Macaca fascicularis: one gene and its partner. Each later gene encodes a partner of the first gene's protein in a complex. Links are inferred from orthologs where the notes say so. Each region holds a gene or a part of one and is shown on either strand. Other genes may lie near its edges.

Region 1 (4,156 bases):
TGAATCACACAAGGACTTAATACACCGGAGTTTTCTGGAAATTTTCAGATTTTCCTCAAAAGATAACTAATGTGATTCCAAATATCAGAGTCTATACAGTAAAACTACATCATCACAGTAATCCATTCTCATCCCCTCATTTGTGGACAGTGATTTATAAGGTTGCTTCCTGCACTTATACGTTATGATAGAAACTATTAGGACTCAAGTTTTACTATTTGTCATAATTATACACTATAATACTAATAACTGTTCAAAGTAATATTCTTTTCAAAATTAAGGGAAAGGTTCCTACAGATCATATGAGGAAGAAAAAAAGAAATTACTGGAAAGAAAAATGGTTTTTAATCTTTTTTTTTGAGACGGAGTTTTGCTCTTGTCACCCAGGCTGGAGCACAGTGGCGCAATATTAGCTCACTGCAACCTCCGCCTCCCAGGTTCAGGCGATTCTCCTGCCTCAGCTTCCCAAGTAGCTGGGATTACAGGCACCCGACACCACGCCTGGCTAATTTTTTATATTTTTAGTAGAGACAGAGTTTCGCCATGTTGGGCAGGCTGGTCTCGAACTCCTGACCTCAGGTGATCCACCTGCCTCGGCCTCCCAAAGTGCTGGGATTACAGGCGTGAGCCACCGTGCCTGGCCTGTTTTAGTCTTTCTATACAAACTTTAGATGCCAATTTTTAAAAATCACTGGATTTAGAATCCCACCACACTGTATTCCATAATAACCTTTTTATTTATGTTAACAATTACTTCACAGCAAAAATGGAAAAGAACAAATTTATGTGTGGTAATCACTGAAAAAAGAAGTCCACATGCATGTCAGGAAATATAAGGCTAAGAATGGGCACTAAGTGAACTCAGGAGGTACTTTACTCCAAATAATGCACTTCTCTATATAGGCTAATGGAATCTACGGGTAAACCTCAATTTTAAAATGAGTTGAACCCAAGGATCAGCTCACATCCATTCCACAGCTAAAACTATTATTTCTTTGCCTTCCTCTAAACTCTGATGTTTATTACAACCTTATCAATGGCAATTTATGAGTGAAAAGCATACGAATTCCCCTCAAAAAGTGAAACCAATGGAGAAAGGGAGAGGGAAAGAAGGGCTCTAAATATCTGAGATGTCTTTTGTGGTGGTTGGTTCACGGCCTCTTTTTAGCACTGACATTTCCAAGTTTTTTGTGAAAAGGAAATTTTAAGAATGTGCTGAAACCATCCTTTCAGAATCAGTTCCCAGATATGTTTCATTTGGCTTCTTTCTTTAAATTATTGTGATGGTAAACTGGAAGTAAACTGAAATACAAATACCTGAATATTTAAAAACTGACGCTTCTGAAAATTTTCAGAATTGCATCGACGTTTGCTTTGTGTTGTCAGAGTACGAGATTAGTGAAGCAAAGCAGGACTCAATCTTGCACTAGTTGAGAACTTAAAGTAATTAAGTTCTTAAGGAAAAAAACTCACCTGACAGCCTTAATCGGACCTAGCAGAAACAGGACAAACCAATTCCCATAGACGAGATAACTCCAAGCGAGAAACCAATTTCCCCGAGAAGGACAAACCAACAAAGCTTATGTCAACTGATTGATCTGTACGTCTCAATATACACAAAAAAGAGCAAAGAAGAGGAAAACAACCTATAATTTCTACATAAAAATTAACATTTGATTTTGCTAAGAAGCTACAACTTCTTAGTTGTCTCTGGTACTTAAAAGATTCTAATTAGTTCAAAGTCTTATCAATGGCAAAGTCATCCCCTGGGACAGTAATAGTGACCCCAATGATAGAACCTTGTATATAAAGCGTTTTCAAATACATTATCTTATTTAAAGCAACTCGCCCAGTCACGCTGCTTTTTACTATCAAAGCCAAGACCCAGCCCACCTTCTCCCGACTTTTGGGGTTCTCTCCACTCCCTGGGTCTACAGATGACTTCAATGTACTCGGTTTATCTGCTTTCTCTACCCTCCCTGCAGACTTAAGAGAATGTCAGAAAGATACAATTCCACAAGAATCTTGGCACTTAAGCTATTTATTGAGAGATGACCAATGAGACTTCAGGCAAAACCAAAACTTTCTCGACTGTCCAAAAACAACGAAAAAGGCATCTCCTCCACCTGACCTGAATCTCAGGACGCCCAGGTGGAAGGAACTCGCCGCGAGACACCCACCTGGCCCCCTGCCCTCCTTCCCGCCGCGGGCCGCGGCGGTGCAGGCTTGGGAGACCCGGGCGAGACGCGGGGTCCCGGGCGGTCCCGAGGCGGGTTGCAGGGGCTGGCGACCCGCGCGCGGGGGCGACAGTGACAGCTGGCGGGGAAGGCGCGGGGCTGAGGGGCCAGGGCGAGGCGGGGCGACAGGGCCTAGGGCGCCCTCGGGAACCTCCGGGGGAGACGAGAGGGCGAAAGGGCGCCGGGGCGGGGCGGGCGCAGGCGGAAGGGGCAGCGGGGCCGGCACGAGGGGCCTGGCGGCTCCCGGTACGGGACTGGCCAGGGGGGGAAGGGAGGGGAGAAGAGGGAGCCGGGCGACTCAGCGCGGGCGCGGGTTTCAGGGTCCGCGGGCCCCTCCTCGCGCCCCGCCGCAGACTATAGGGGCGGGGCCGCCAGACCCCCCACGGCGGCCGAGGGACGGGCGCGCCAGGCACCTGCCGCCTCAGCCCCGGCGGCCCGGGGGGGCTCGGCTCTCACCTCGCCGGTTCATGGGTCGGATCCGCACCGCCACTTTCACTTTGGAGTCCCCCATCCTGCGGCCGCCGAGGCACTCGTTCTGCTTCCGTCTGCCGCGGCCACCGGCGACTCTTCGGGGCTGACCCGGCGGGAGGGGGCCGAGGGCGGGGCGGGGCGGGGGGCGGGGACCGGGCTGGGGGCGGGGCAGGAGCGAGCTCCCGGCGCGCGCTGGTGCATGACGGGACTTGTAGTTCCCCAGGGTCGTGGGCGGAGCCGCAGCGGAGGCGGAGGCGGGAAAGCTAGGGCGCGAGTCGTTTGCTGGCACTTACGGTCAGCAGTGAGGGCTTTTGTAAATTCCCGTCTTTACACACCATTCTTGCTCTCGCAAGATGTAAGCCTTCGAGAAGTAAGCCTTCGAGAGCTGATACCTTTTCTGAAAAACAGTTGAATAGATGGCGTCAGGGACCCCGCTACCTCTTCCTGCTCATTTCCTGCCAATCTTAGTGTTTGATCCCTGGCTCAAGTTATTTCCTCTGCCTAGATTGCAGTCCAGCCTTGTCCGCTGAGGACGTCCTTCAAGACAAGTTGCAAATCACCTTTTCTGGGAGTGTCCATAGGTGCATAGGTTAACATTGTCCTATGAGTCGCCCTCCTTTGAGACAGGACTTTGGGCTCTGAAAACCATCTGAGTTCAAATCCCACCTCAGCGCTTCCCACTGTGTGACCAGGGGCAAGTTATTTCACCGCTCTGGGTTTGTCTTTAATATGGAAAGTGGAGATGATGCTAGTACCTAATAAAATAGGTACATTTTTAAATAAGATTAACTTACATGTGTAACCTAGCCTTTAGTAGAGACCCATAAACGTTAATTGCAGGAATGAATCAATGAGGCCACACTAAAATTAGCTTTTTATTAGCCCTGGCAGACATTCTAACAGGTGACCCTGTGGGCCAGAGCCAGCCTGCAAACATGTTCTGTTTAGCCCAACAGTGTTGGCCAACACATAAAAATCAGATTTGTGGCCAGGGGCAGGGGGTCACACCTGGAATCCCAGCATTTTAGGATACTGATGCAGGAGGATCGCTTGAGGCCAGGAGTTTGAGACCAGCTTGGGTGACAGAGTGTGAAATCAGATTTGTGCTTGCAGTACTGGGCCTACATTACACATTGGACAGAGTGGATTGGAACTAACTAGCAGCAGCCGCCTTTATCAAAGGCCAGTCTCTCTCCACTTCACCACAGCCTCCCTCCAGGTGGCTTTACCACACATGTGCCTGGACCTTGTGGGTTGGTGACCCCTGCTTAGATGTGTTTAAATGATAGTAATAGAACTCAGAACCATTTTACAGATGAGTAAATACAGAAAGCTGGCAAGACTTGCCCTTTTATCAACCATCCTGTTACTGAACATCTTCAATACAAGCAGTGTTGTCAGAAAAGTTAAAAATACCTTTTTTTTTTAGATGGATCTAGCTCTGTCCC
Region 2 (4,079 bases), on another chromosome or scaffold:
GAGAATATGTCTGTTTTTCTTTTTTTTTGAGACAGGGTCTCACTCTGGCCTAGGATGGAGTGTATCACTGCAGCTTCCAACTCCTGGCCTCAAGCGATCCTCCCGCCTCAGCCTCCCAGTATTGGGATTACAGGCGTGAGCCACCGCGCCTGATTCCTGTCCTCTGTTGCAATTAGGCAGGCAGCGCCAAGGATGCACAGAGGCACCTCCTCCCTCCCCCAAGCCCCACCCAGGATGGAGACCCCCACCCAGGTCTTGCAGGACAGTGGGTCCAAGCACGCCCCAACTCGCCCACCTGCCAGGCCTGTGAGGAGAGGCTCTCTGGGTGGCCGCTGGGTGAGGACCTGTTCAAGGTCAGGGGAACCCACTAGTGGGACAGATCATGGGAGTTTGGAAGGAGCTTCTGTGGAGGCCTCAGAGACCCCCAGACCATGTGGCTTCCCTCACACGGCCAGTAGGTGGGGCCTGCTCAAGTCTACCCCAGCACCCACAGGCCTGGCGTTCAGAGGTGGCCTGGGACTGTCTGATGTCCTGCTGTCCGGGTCTGCACCAGCCGAGAGCCAGTGCACAGGACAGTGTTCTGAGGAAAGCAGAACGTGCTGGTCACCCCAGTCCCCATCAATACTGGAGTGGCTCCTTGTCACCCAGCTGGGCCACAGCAGGAACAGGAGATCCCAGAGCAGCCGCATCAGCAAAGCAGCATAGCGCCCTCAAGGGTGTGCCATGGGGTCATGGGGTCCGGGCAGCCCCCCGTCTCCTGACACCTCCTGTTCCACCCTGTGGCCACAGCCCTGGGGAGCGGGGACAAGCACAGCGGCCGGGTGTGACCCATATCCCCAGCTCCAGTTTGCAATGCATCAGTCTCCCTGGCTGTGAAATGAGAACAACCCCTCACAGCATCCCCGCTCCATGGCGCTACCCGACAGAGGAGGCGAGTCACTGAGGTCATGGACCAATTCTGAGAAGGCACAGGTGCGGCCCTGTGCCCAGCAGCACCGGGCAGGGGGAGGGCCGAGAACAGCTCTGTGGTGGGCCAGGCACACCTGCACCCACTGGGAGGGGAGGGCCACTGAAGGGCCCAGCAGGCCAGGGAAGTGCCCTCTTTCTTCCTCCTGCCAGGCTGGGAGGGCCAGAGGGCAGCTGGAGAGGGGCTCTGAGTCCAGAGAAGCTGCTCCCAGGCTGTGTGGCCAGGGATCAGAGGTTCAGAGACAAGCCCAGCTCCCCTCCCCGTGGGCCATAGCAACCCCAGGCCAGGCCCTTTCCCACTGACTCTCCAGGGGAGCATTCCTGAACAGGAGGAAATAAAGATCTGGGGTAAGAGATTCTCGTGCGAGCCAGCCCAGGGGGCCGCCCCCACCACACCATTGCACTGGCCCTGCAGCCGCCCTGCCTCAGGAGACCACGGAAAGGCCGTGGGTCCTGCCTGTCTTTCCAGAAAAGCCTGTCACTATTTCCCCTCTGGGACACCCCAGCTCCTGGTGTGGACTCTCGGGCCAAGCTGTGGCTGGACAGCAGCCACCACGACCTGGGGCTGGCAGAGACCCCTCCATCCCAGAGGGAATCAGATCCTATTTCCGGGGTGTCCAGAGACTGCATGCTGAACCAGGGCCTTGGGGGCAAATGCAGGGTCTTTCCCCGCTCTCTCCCTGGGGACCTCAGCCATCCTTGGTGAGTTTAGGTTTGTTCCAAGGGGCTCAGGCTATTGGCCCCCAGATTCCTGGTGTGCCTGGGGTGGCAGGACTGCCCTGGCAGGGCCCTCTCCCCACAGCGCAGCCGGCCTGGGGCTGACAGCTCCGAAGCAGGGCAGGGCTGGTCTGGGCACTGGGCCCCGTTCACAGCCAATGGCAGGACCAGTGGCCTGGAAGGGAGGGACTCCGCGCCTTTGGACTCCTGTGCCTTGAAATCCCACAGACCTAGGAACCGAGTCAGGGATGCCCGGCCGGGAGAACGAACGGGCGGGCGGCAGGTGGACGAGGACCTGCGTCCGGCCCCACCTCTTCCAGGCCTCACCTGTCCTGGCGCCCGCCCCGGAGCAGCCAGGTGCAGGGAGCCGGGGGAGGGGCGCCGCTCACACCCAGGGACCCCCGGTGCGGGGAGGGAGTGAGGCATGACGTCACCGCGAGGTGGCCCCGGAGCCGGGGGACCCCACAGTCCAGCAGAGCCCTCCAGCTGGCGGCCCGTTCCCTCCCTGCAGCCAGCCCCGATTTCCTCTTTCTGTGCGGAGCCCGAGCTTTCGCAACGCGGCGGGCGGTCCGCGGTGACCGTCAGACACGCAGCCCGGAGGGGGAGGGGAGGCGGCGGCAGGGGGATTTCCGGGGGTCCTGGGGGCGCCTCCCGCTCCGCCCGGCCCGGGGAGACGTCCGGGTCCCGCAGGTGCAGCCGGGCCCGGGCCCCATCCGAGCGCCGGCCCGGTGTTCAGCACCGCCACCCCCGCGGCGTCCGCGGTCCCCCGCCCGGTCCCTGGGGCCCACCCAGGACCCACCCGGCACCCCGCGCCCACCCGGGACCCACCCGGCCCCGCGCCCACCCGGCCCACACCTACCCGGGGCGCCGCAGTCCGCGCAGCGCGCGTTCCCCGGCCGCTGCAGCAGCTCCAGGACCGCCCTGCGCCGCTCCTTGGCCATGGCCGCGATGCGCCCGCGATGCCGATGCCGGGGCCGGGGCCCGGAGCGTCCGCCGGCTCGCTAGGGCCCCGCGCAGGCCGCCCGCCGCCGCCGCCCCTGCGCCATGCCGGGCGGCCTCAGCCCGCGCGCCGGTTCCGCATTCCCGCCGCCCTCCGGGCTCCGCCGCCGCCGCTCGTGTCTCCGCCGCGGTCGCTGAGCGAGTGCCGGCGCGGGGCCCGGGGCGCACGCTGCGCTCTGGCCGGCAAGGCCCGCGGGCGGCCCCCAGCGGTGCAGGCGAGCGTGTGGCCTCCTCCCTCGGCCGCTCCGGCGCCCCCAGCCCGCGCGCCCCGGGGACCCACCGGGAAGTAGCCCGCTGCCCGCCCCTCATCCGCGCGCAGCATCCCACCTGCCTGGGCGAGAGGCCGCCCCAAAACCTGGCCGGACTGGATGGGACCCTCGTGCCGCCACGCGCGCTGGGACGGAACCTGCACACCTACTGTGGGGGGTGCAGAGGGCACCTGCCGAGCCCCCCAAGACCATGGGCACGGGGGTGCTCATGCAAGGCAGGCGTGTGTGTTCTGCGCTAGGGACCAGGGCGCTCACACCATCCCTGCCTGGGAGGGGCGGCCAGCAAGTGACAAACGCCAGCATCCCAGGGCACTGAGGCCGCAGAGGCCCCAGAGGGAGCCTCCCCCTGAGACCCACCCAGCTGCCCACCACCCACAGAGGGGACCCTCTGAGCACTCCTCCCACTCAGGCTGGCTGAGGGGCCCGGCGGGGACTTCACATGGGGGCTGACAGGTAACAAAAAGCCTGGGTTTGATGTCGCCTTCCCCAGACTTGGGTGCCCTTCCTCTGCACACCCCAGCGTCTTTTCAAATTCTTTCCATTTTCTTCTTATATTGTTAGTGCAGTACGCCCGGCTGAAAACAAACTGGAACATACCAGACTGAAAAAGGAAAGCCTCCCCCCGCTGCCTTCCAGGCAACCACTATTAACAAACAATTCCTCAGCACCTTCCAGAATGAACGGTCTGAGGCCTGTGGCCTTTCATTTATTTAATCATTTATGGAGACAGGGTTTTGGCTAAGGGCTGTAATCTCAGCACTTTGGGAGGCCAGGGCTGGTGGATCGCTTGAGCTCAGCAGTTTGAGACCAACCTGCGCAACATGGCAAGACCCCATCTCTACAAATACAAAATTTAGCCGGGTGTGACGGTGGGGGCCTGGAGTCCCAGTTACTCAGGAGGCGGAGGCAGGAGGATCACTTGAGCCCAGAAGCTGAGGCTGCAGTGAGCTATGATGGTGTCACTGCACTCCAGCCTGGGGAAGAGAGGGGAGACCCTGTCTCTAAAAAAAAGAATTTTTTTTTTTTTTTTTTTTTTTTTTTTTTTTTTTTTTTGTAGAGATGGGGATCTTCCTATGTTGCCAGGCTGGTCTTGAAGTCCTGGGTTCAAGTGATCCTCCTGTCTCAGCC

The links. The genes of interacting proteins can lie anywhere in the genome.
Region 2: the proteins of KIF13B (region 1) and ADAP1 are in contact, whole or in part, in a crystal structure (PDB 3MDB), measured with the Homo sapiens proteins. The link is inferred for Macaca fascicularis from reciprocal best matches to the Homo sapiens genes KIF13B and ADAP1. Residues at the interface, in NP_056069.2 of Homo sapiens: Val451, Asn452, Leu453, Asn454, Ala455, Asp456, Pro457, Leu463, Arg512, Phe514, Asn516, Gly517, Arg531, Leu533, Asn536, Asn537, Phe539; in NP_006860.2 of Homo sapiens: Trp137, Asn143, Gly144, Gln145, Phe146, Leu147, Pro186, Ala187, Lys188, Ile189, Gly190, His191, Pro192, His193, Tyr211, Glu213.

The regions. Positions count from the first base shown.
Region 1 is NC_088382.1:32,445,920-32,450,075, forward strand, and holds the start of KIF13B (kinesin-like protein KIF13B), read right to left. Parts: upstream 2,808-4,156; 5' UTR 2,749-2,807; coding exon 2,694-2,748; intron 1-2,693. UniProt on the Homo sapiens protein: Involved in reorganization of the cortical cytoskeleton. Regulates axon formation by promoting the formation of extra axons. May be functionally important for the intracellular trafficking of MAGUKs and associated protein complexes.
Region 2 is NC_088377.1:34,408,440-34,412,518, forward strand, and holds the start of ADAP1 (arf-GAP with dual PH domain-containing protein 1), read right to left. Parts: upstream 2,827-4,079; 5' UTR 2,625-2,826; coding exon 2,543-2,624; intron 1-2,542. UniProt on the Homo sapiens protein: GTPase-activating protein for the ADP ribosylation factor family. Binds phosphatidylinositol 3,4,5-trisphosphate (PtdInsP3) and inositol 1,3,4,5-tetrakisphosphate (InsP4). Regulates the incorporation of CD63 and CD9 into multivesicular bodies.